Linked DNA regions of Mus musculus. The protein of the gene in region 3 interacts with the protein of the main gene of each other region in a pairwise test. Links are inferred from orthologs where the notes say so. Each region holds a gene or a part of one and is shown on either strand. Other genes may lie near its edges. The genes, in order: Tsnax, Cep57l1 and Klc3.

Region 1 (3,754 bases), on a different chromosome or scaffold from region 3:
TCCCTGTAGCCCCACATCGTCAAAAATAGTGGAATACTGGTTTTGTGTGTCAACTTGACACAAGCTGGAGTTATCACAGAGAAAGGAGCCTCCCTTGAGGAAATGCCTCCATGAGATCCAGCTGTAAGACATTTTCTCAACTAGTGATCAAGGGGGGAGGGCCCAGCCCATTGTGGGTGGTGCCATCCCTGGGCTAGTGGTCCTGGGTTCTATAAGAAAGCAGGCTTAGCAAGTCAGAGGAAGCAAGCCAGTAAGAAACACCCCTCCATGGCCTCTACATCAGCTCCTGCCTCCAAGTTCCTTCCTGTGTGAGTCCCTGTCCTGATTTCCTTTGGCATGAATAACGATGTGGAAGTATAAGCTGAATAAACCCTTTCCTCCCCAACTTATTGGTCATGTTTTGTGCAGGAATACAAACGCTAAGACAACTGGTGAATGTGGGCTCAGAAGTCACAGAAATTCAAGATGGTTATGTGTCCAACATTCATCCATTGTTGTTCCCCCACAGCCTTTTCATGCAGGACTCTGCCCAAACCATCTAGCTTTTTGCTGATTCAATGGTGACAGCTTATGGCCTGATTTTTGAGCTGGGAGACCCTCCTGTGATGCTGTTGTGGCCTTGACTTCACTGGCTAATTCTACGTATATCATTTCCATAAGTGTGTCTGTTCCTAAGTTAACAAGAACAGACTGTGTGACTAAAATGTCTGTAACATGCACATGGCTGAACTTGACTCAAGATGTTGGGCTTTGTTCAATAAGTAATCTTAATTGAGCATGGTCTCTAATGGGCTGCTGGAAGCCTCAAAGGAATGGTACTAGCTAGGTGAGGTAGCATGTGCTCAAACAACAGCCTTAGGGCTTGACAATGTGACCAAACTTTCCATCTATTCCAAAGCTGCTTCTCTTCGAAGACCTTGCGACACTTCCAGGTGCCACGCACCCAGCACATGCCAAGGGCATGCATGGACGCAGGAGGCTGCTCAGAGAGGCGAGGGGACAGGAGGCCGCTGCCCGCGACAGGACTACACAGCTCAGGTAGGCACTCAACGGCTTGCACCACAACCTGGCACACCGGAAGCATGCGCGACTGAGAGAGAGCGCCGGGTAGGCACTTGGACGTGGGAGAAGCCGGGACACAGACCGGAAGTATGTGCAGCACAGGGAGCGCGCCGGGAGCCCGGCCGGAAACGTGCGCTGCTGCAGGAGCGCGCCCGCCCGCATGCCCGCCCAGGCGGTGTGGGACACGGGCCGGAAGTGTGTGCGGCCGAGGGGACTCCGCGGCGGACGCAGCTCCCGGCTGAGGCTGCGTGAAGGATCCGCTTCCGGCGGCCGCCTACTGCGACCAGGGTGGTGTGCGCTGTCACCCACGGGCTCAGCGCGGCGTCCCGCGACGGCCTTTCGCTGAGCTGGCCCGGCGGCTGCGATCCCTGCGCGTGCAAGCCGAGGCCCCGCGGCCATGAACGGCAAAGAAGGTGCGGGGCCGGCGCGTGGAGGGGAGGGGCTGGCAGGGCCTGGCCCCTGTGCTCGGCTGTCACCGTGCCATCCATCGCACGCCCCCAGGGGACCCTGCGGACCGACCCAGAGCGCAGCCGGGTGCCTGGGGTCTCAAGCCGCGTTTTGTGCGACCCCTGCACCAGTGCACGAGTTTGGGGACCTGTGTGTGGCTGGAGAGGTCGAGCCCTGTGGGTACCGGGGGACGAAGGGGATAGCCTGGGCTGTGCTAGCGCGGCATCGCAAGGGCTCCATCCATCTCTTCTTTTCTGCCTAAGGACCAGGAGGGTTCAGGAAGAGGAAGCATGACACCTTCCCACATAACCAAAGGAGAGAGGGGAAGGATGCCAGTTTGTCTTCGCCGGTGATGCTGGCCTTCAAATGTAAGTTTCCATTAGGAGAATTAGAACCATAACCGTAACAATCGTGTCGCCGTAGTGTTCGGGTGTGGGGTCGGTTAGGGAGCCTTTAGTCCATGCCGATGTAAGGCTTAGTTTTCCTGAATGTTTCGTGTTGGTGCTAGGTCTGCCCAGAAAAAAAAAAAATCTGTATTCTAAACATTCCGATATCAGGATAACTTGACCAAGTTAATAGAACAAGAATACCAGTGTACATGTATGTACGAGATTCACTAATAGTTCCTGTTCTATGCAGAGTGCTACCTCAAAATAAGTCTTGCCAGTCTAGTAACCAATCTAACACACTCTAAATATAAATATATGTGCTAGTAAATGGTAAGTGTGAAGATGATGTTACATACAGAACAGTTGGTAAGAATGTGGCAGATATTTCCATATTATTTAACATTTAATGCTTTTTATGTGGGACTTTTTACTGTTTACTAATGTTAATATAGGCCACCATAGTCAAGGGCTTTGGGATATAGATGTTTGCCACTTTGCATTTGCTAAAAGTAACGCAAAGTAAAAACTGCTTCATATTTAGGAAGAAAGAATTAGGTTGCACCTTGTAAAGAGAAGGGTCCCAGCTAATGTGTGGACAGTTTTGTTTTTGTTTTTGTGTTTTTTTCTTTTTTGTTTTTGTTTTTTTTTTCGAGACAAGGTTTCTCTGTGTAGCCCTGGCTGTCCTAGAACTCACTCTGTAGACCAGGCTGACCTCGAACTCAGAAATCCACCTGCCTCTGCCTCCCAAGTGTTGGGATTAAAGACGTGCGCCACTCCCCCCCCTCCCTCTTCCCGGCTAATGTGGACAGTTTTAAAAGAACATAGCACCTACAGTGGTCTTCATGAGTGTGAGGAAACCAGGTAAAATTGACATGGCTGAATACTGAATGAAGCAAGCTGGTCGTTTCCCACATATTTGCTGTTTTCCTGTTTCTTTCTCTCATAGGTGGATAGTTCTTTGAGCTTGGATTTGTTTCTGACTTAGTGCTTTCATTACCAGCCCAGTGGACCATGTTCTCTTTGATACCCAGCTCAAGTGACTCCTTGGACACGATGGTTACTTTCATTCACTTCCCATCTGTATTGTCTGGTTTTGTGTCAACTTGACACAAGCTGGAGTTATCACAGAGAAAGGAGCTTCAGTTGAGGAAATGCCTTCATGAGATCCAGCTATAAGGCATTTTCTCAATTAGTGATCAAGAGGGGAGGGCCCTTGTGGGTGGGACCATCTCTGGGCTGGTAATCTTGGTTCTATAAGAAAGCAGGCTGAGCAAGCCAGGGGAAGCAAGCCAGTTAGTAACATCCCTTCATGGCCTCTGCATCAGCTCCTGCTTCCTGACCTGCTTGAGTTCCAGTTCTGACTTCCTTTGGTGATGAATAGCAGTGTGGAAGTGTAAGCTGAATAAACCCTTTCCTCCCCAACTTGCTTCTTGGTCATGATGTTTGTGCAGGAATAGAAACGCTGACTAAGACACCATCCATTCACTCATGGGATGTTACCTTTCCCTTAGCCCTTTCCTATGTATTTATATCATTGTTATATTTTATTTAATTACTCATTATTTATACCTGTGTCTCTTTGAGGCTAGGAACTCTGTTTCATCCAACTTTGAATTTATTATGTCAGACAAAATCCAGAGGCCATCATCACTATCATCAATGTTATTCCTGAGATAGGGTTGTATTAGCCTATCTGATAGTGTTACTGTGAAGATGATAGTGAGGTAGCTTGTTGTATTTATTTACAAACCAGTGCCACTTTAAAACACTTTACAGATGTTTCTGAAAACTCCCAGGGATTCCAAAGTTCTGTGGTTTTGTGTATCCTGGATAGGATAGTGTGCAGTTACTCTGTT
Region 2 (2,418 bases), on a different chromosome or scaffold from region 3:
GAGCTAACCCTCAGAGCTCAGGAGAGCCCGTTTCCATTTGTGACAGTTTGTCTGAACTCTTGATGACAATGGAAGAGGAGCTGGACCAAATGAATATGTGAGTGTTCATTCTTTATTAAAATAAAACTGTGTGTGCACGTGGGTATGTGCTCATGGTGCCGGTGCTCCCAGCGCAGCAGAGCGGCTGGGCTCCCTGAGGCTGGGGTCACAGAGGTTTGTAGGTGACTCTGGTCCTCTGCAAGAGCAGGGCACCTTCTCAACTCTTCAGCAGTCTTTGTGGCTCCCACCTATAAATCTGATTGGCTATTTAGACTTACTTTGTATCTATCCATAAACTTATTATTACTATTTCTCATTGTATTTACTATAGTATTTAACTGTTTAACTGTGTCTAAGAACTAATTTTTGATAGTCCAGAGATCTAGACTGATAGGCAAATATTATGAATCAAGTGGATATATCGAGTCTGAAGACTTTAGATTAGAACGGAGATGAGCTTTGAGAAGGAAAATACAGTTTTTATTTAAAATCTTTTAGTTACATGGGTGGTTTCATTAGGCAGGTTAGAATATCATTCCTTATTTTAGGTTTGTCCTGATGTGTATGACAAGTCCCTCAGTAAGGACTATCTGCATAGGAGTCATTGTATTGAGCCTGATGCCTAACCACATTTCAACAAACGTAGCAGAGCTTCGTGCTTTAAGTGGCAGGCTCACTGAACTCATAAAGAGTTGCTGCACACGTAAGGGTTCTCGCAACAGTATTTCCAATCGCAGACTTGGAGCTGAAGAGCCATGTGTTGCCCTAGCTAAGCACTGTAGAAGTGTTCGCTCTGCTTTGCTGAGAGAGAGCACCAAGAATTTACATTGTTTTTAGGTTATTGAGCAGCTAGACACTATGATAGTTCTAAATGTATCAAATCTCAAAGGATAAAAGCTTGGCTACGTTTACCATATCATGATTGACTTATATATCCTAATGTTAGACAACTATTTTTGAAGATTAATATTTTGCTCCTAACTAACACTCATAATCAAACAAGACAGTTAGTTGTGACAAAGAGAGAACAGTATTTCTACAACAGTGCTTGCTGTTTGCTCTGTTTTTAATCATGCAAGTATAATCTATGTGTCCTGCCAGACACTACTGCTTCTGTGGTTTTTATTTATGATGTTATTATTTATTTCTATTACTAAGTATTGCGCTGAGAACCTGCCAGGCACAGATGTCCTCTCTGAGTGAGTTACACCCCGGCCTTGTTGCTTGCTCTTCTCTGTAGGGAGCACAGAGAGCTCCTGAGACAGATGATGCAGCCTGGGAACCACTCGGTCTCTGAGGACATAGAGCAGGAGCTGGAGCAGTTAGCCAAGAAGATGGAAAGCAAAGGTGACCAGATCTCCAAGCTCAAGAAGCATCAAGACAGTGTAAGAAGGACACTCCCCGTTACCAAACAAACCAACAAATAATCACCAGACACATCCAGTGTCACATATCTGTATGGCCTTCCAACTGGAAGTATGGAGACATGGTGTACTAAAAGATACACAGCAATCACTTGAGTGTCTTACAGAGAGCCACCACTGTGTGTAATGACAGCCCTTCTACAGAGGTTCTCAAGAGATGAGAGAGAACAAAAGAGTTCCTGTGGAATCAGGCCGTGGGGAAACTGTAGCGTAGGCTATTGCTTCAGCACCCTTCCAGTTACCTTTCCAGCATTCTCTGCTCTGGTCCCCCACCCCAGCCCTCCTCACTCTACCCCACCCCACCCCTCCCCACCCCACCCCTACGGTTCTAATGATGTCCTTTGTGCCACACGGAAACCTGGTACATAATCCTGAAACCATTCCCTCCTGCCTCCTGAAACAAGCTGGGCTGTGTTGTTTTCCCTGGGATCCTGTACCTAGCCACCTATACTCAGTAGAACTCAGGTTGGAGGAGGATGCCATACTTGTCTTTTAGTAACTAAGAACAGCATGACCTTAATATGCTGACAGAAGAATCCTGAGCATAATCGTTCTCTCTGAGACAACTCCATCCATAGTTGCTGAAGCAGAATGGGGTCTTTCTAGGAAACCTCACATCACATCACATACTTCTTACAGCTCTCTGCCTAGGGAGTTCAGCATTCCAATAAGCTGCAGGAATATCAACCTGCCATGTGCAGACTTCTATAAGACAGTGATTTGTAAAAACCAGTAATATCCAAAGGATATTACTGTATTTATCATGCTATGGTCAGAATAGAAAAATATTTTCATTTTACTGGCTTTTAAAACTATAGCAAGTAAAAAAAAAATATGATTGTGTTTTGGTAAAGATTGAACAAGTTTTGCTTTTGGAACCACATAGAAGAAACTTAAACACATACATTTTATAATTTGAAAGTTATGAATTTGTTACTTAATAACTGCTGCAGAA
Region 3 (3,654 bases):
ACCACCATTTGCTAAGATTTATTTTTATTTTATGTACATGAGCGTTTGTCTGCAAGCAGGTATGTACATGATGTGTGTGCAATACCCACTGAGGCCAGAAGAGGGCGTCAGATCCCCCGGACCTTGAATTGGTTGAAAGCCAGCATGTGGGTGCTGGGTCCTCTGCAAGGGCAGCTAGGGCTCTTCACCTCTGAGTCATCTCTCCAGACCCCAGGATTTCTTTTTAAAAGCAGAGATTATAGCTCCTGGCCCCATGATCCTCCTGCCTCAGCCTCCAGTGCCAGAATTATGGGTGTATGCTACCACACCTGTGTTCTGAAAAGGAGAGAGTGTGGTGTGGTTTGTCTTTCTAAGATGAGAGTGTACATTTGTGCCGTGCTTCTTTGTTTCCTTTCTTGTGTTGTATTTCTAATAAGGCAATACATATGCGTGTGCTTGGAGAGGGTGCGGGTGTGTGGAAGGAGAGAATGTGTGTGCTGAGCTGTGTCTAAGATGGGAATCTGCCTGCCGCTGGGTCTTTAAGAAGGACCTGAACTGGGGCTCAGTTGATAAGGCTGCTTGCTTAGAATGCCCATCCTACGTGTGCATAGCATGTCCAGGACCCGGGTTCATTCCTAGCACCCCATAAGTGGAGCGCGGCGGTGCATGTTGCTTAAGGCCCTCCTCAACTGTACAGCAAGGTCAAGGCCAGTCTGGGCACACAAGACCCGATCTCAAAAAATTAATTGAAAATATTAATTTTTTAAAAGGCTAGGAGGTGCACCTACCTCTAGTCCCAGCACGCAAAAGGCAGAGACAGGTGGATTTCAGTGAATTCCAAGCCAGCTGGAACTACACAGTGAGACTCTGTCTAAAAAAATAATGAAGGAAGGAAGGAAGAAGGAAGGATGGGAGAGTTTTGTCTGTTTGCTGAGGAGAGTAGTATCAGTGAGGTTACCCCTCTAAGCCTCTACTTAGTTACCCACATAAAAACACACAGAAACCCATTTGGCAGACCCCAGCAGTGCTCAGGTGTCACATGGACACTGCCATCCGTGAACCACGGCCATCACACAAGGCCTCATCAAGCCTGGCTGCGGTGGTCGGGACCCCGAGTCCTGTCCGTCAGGATCCCGCCAAGATCAAGAGCCCCCTAGACAAGCTGTCGGCCCCTCTAGACACCTCCAGCGATCCTTTCTCCAGCCCTTTGGTCTGCTTCTCTGCTCTCAGGGTTTCATCCCTCATCCCTCCCGTCTGCACCCCCCCCCCCCTCAGTGGCCTGACTGGTTCCTGACAAAACACCCTAAGAATGAGCTCACTGGGAGCCTGCCGCCCCCACACGCTCCGCCCCACACACGCTCCGCCCCTCAGCCCGCAGAGGTGGCACCTCCGGTCCCAGGGCGCTTAGCAGGCTGGGAAGCTCTGTGCTGGGGTGTCTGGGGACCTGGGTGGGGGGGCTGGACCAGGTGAGCAGAGTGCAGCGGGGTGGAGGGGGCTCTGGAACCGGCTGTTGGTTCTCTTGGCTAATCACAGTTAAGAGCTGTCCCCAGGGTTTACAAAGGTAGAATGTTTCCCGATGACGGCTGCCTGTTTGTGATGGAAAGGGATCGGGCAGAGAGCTTAGCCAAGACGGGCGGACAAGGGGGATGGCTGGAATGAGGAGAGGCTGAGTCTGCGTGGCCCAGATGGTGACTCCCTCGACCTCACTGCCCCCCACCCCCCCAGGAGCAGCCATGTCTGTGCAGGTGGCAGCCCCTGGAAGCACAGGGCTGGGCCCAGAACGCCTGAACCCCGAGGAGCTGGTGCGGCAGACACGACAGGTTGTACAGGGACTGGAGGCCCTGCGGGCCGAGCACCATAGTCTGGCTGGGCACCTGGCGGAGGCCCTGGCTGGACCAGGCCCTGTGGCTGGTGTGGAGCTGCTGGAAGAGAAGCAACAGGTGGTGAACCACTCGCTGGAGGCCATCGAGCTGGGGCTGGGTGAGGCCCAGGTATGTGGGGCTGCGGGAGCGCTTAAGCCTGGGAGGGAAGAGGACCAGAGATGATGGTGTGTGTGTGTGTCTGTGTGTGTCTGTGTGTGTCTGTGTGTGTCGGGGGTGGGGGGGAGGGCCCAGGTAGGATGTCTGAAGGAGCCAAGCCCAGGAAGAGGGACTGCAGGCCAGAGACAGCATCCCTGAGAAGCATTAGGGATGAGAGATTTTGTGTGTACCAATGGGATTCTCCTGTAGAACCTGGGCCTGGAGTGAGTTTGGGGTTTTCATTATGAATGGAATGTCAGTGAGGGGCTGGGGCATGGCTCAGAAGTGGAGCCCCTGCCTAACCCCAGCCCCTCTCTGGGGGGTTCTAGGCAGGAGTTCTACCACTGAGCCTCACCCCCAGCCCCTCACTGGAGGATTCTAGGCAGGGCTCTACCACTGAGCCTCACCCCCAGCCCCTCACTGGGGGATTCTAGGCAGGGGCTCTACCACTGAGCCACGCCCCCAGCCCCTCACTGGGGGATTCTAGGCAGGGCTCTACCACTGAGCCTCACCCCCAGCCCCTCACTGGGGGATTCTAGGCAGGGGCTCTACCACTGAGCCTCACCCCCAGCCCCTCACTGGGGGATTCTAGGCAGGGGCTCTACCCCTGAGCCACGCCCCCAGCCCCTCACTGGGGGATTCTAGGCAGTGGCTCTACCACTGAGCCACGCCCCCAGCCCCTCACTGGGGGATTCTAGGCAGGGGCTCAACACTGAGCCACGCCCCCAGCCCCTCACTGGGGGATTCTAGGCAGGGGCTCTACCACTGAGCCACACCCCAGCCCCTCACTGGGGGATTCTAGGCAGGGGCTCTCCCACTGAGCCACGCCCCTGTTCTTCACAGATGGATTTTAGGCAGCTGCTGACCTACATAGTTGGGATAGGAATTAACCCTATGCATAATTTAGGTGAAGTTAGGGATTTCTGGGAAACTCTTAATTATCAGAGCCACATAGTAGGGTGTGTTGAGGATTTGGGGGAACCTGTGTAGAATGTGGCTTGATGTAAAACCTGGACTGGGACTGGGATGAATCCACTCCTACTCAGGGTCCCAATGCTTCGCAGGTGCTGCTGGCCCTGTCCGCACACGTGAGTGTGTTGGAGGCTGAGAAGCAGAGGCTACGGGCACAGGCACGGAGGCTAGCCCAAGAGAACACATGGCTTCGAGAGGAGCTGGAGGAGACACAGAGGCGACTGCGGGCCAGCGAGGAGGCTGTGGCCCAGCTGGAAGAGGAGAAGAGCCACCTCCAGTTCCTGGGGCAGCTGAGGCAGTATGACCCGCCCGAGGAGAGCCAGGTAGCAGGGGCAGGGTTAGAAGGGAATGCACAGTCCTCTACAGAGCTCCTGGGTGCCTGCAGGAGCTCTTAGTACAGCCCTTCAAGTACAAATGGAGTCCCTCAATCCCCACACCTAATTGAGCCCCCAAAGTACCTTGAATGCTCCTTAGAGCATTCTTCCCCCAGCCCACTGAAACCTCTAAGGCTCTCACCCCACACCTCTGTCAAACTCAGAGCTACTGTGGCTGAGGATGAAGGATGCTGTGAGTTCTAGGCCAGCCTGGGCCACGTAGTGAGACTCTTACCTCAGAAATATACCAGTCCCTGAAGCCAGGCATGGTGGCGTGCCTTTAAGCCCAGCACCGTGAAGGCAGAGGCATG

The links.
Region 1: the proteins of Klc3 (region 3) and Tsnax interact in binary tests that used the Homo sapiens proteins (3 or more experiments, as listed by UniProt). The two-hybrid records come from large-scale screens. The link is inferred for Mus musculus from reciprocal best matches to the Homo sapiens genes KLC3 and TSNAX.
Region 2: the proteins of Klc3 (region 3) and Cep57l1 interact in binary tests that used the Homo sapiens proteins (3 or more experiments, as listed by UniProt). The two-hybrid records come from large-scale screens. The link is inferred for Mus musculus from reciprocal best matches to the Homo sapiens genes KLC3 and CEP57L1.

The regions. Positions count from the first base shown.
Region 1 is NC_000074.6:125,011,738-125,015,491, forward strand, and holds the start of Tsnax (translin-associated protein X), read left to right. Parts: upstream 1-1,303; 5' UTR 1,304-1,459; coding exon 1,460-1,475; intron 1,476-1,772; coding exon 1,773-1,877; intron 1,878-3,754.
Region 2 is NC_000076.6:41,720,563-41,722,980, reverse strand, and holds part of Cep57l1 (centrosomal protein CEP57L1), read left to right. Parts: coding exon 1-97; intron 98-1,279; coding exon 1,280-1,424; intron 1,425-2,418. UniProt on the Homo sapiens protein: Centrosomal protein which may be required for microtubule attachment to centrosomes.
Region 3 is NC_000073.6:19,397,600-19,401,253, reverse strand, and holds part of Klc3 (kinesin light chain 3), read left to right. Parts: intron 1-1,332; exon of another isoform or gene 1,333-1,540; intron 1,541-1,704; coding exon of another isoform or gene 1,705-1,712; coding exon 1,713-1,970; intron 1,971-3,061; coding exon 3,062-3,292; intron 3,293-3,654. UniProt on the Homo sapiens protein: Kinesin is a microtubule-associated force-producing protein that may play a role in organelle transport. Plays a role during spermiogenesis in the development of the sperm tail midpiece and in the normal function of spermatozoa.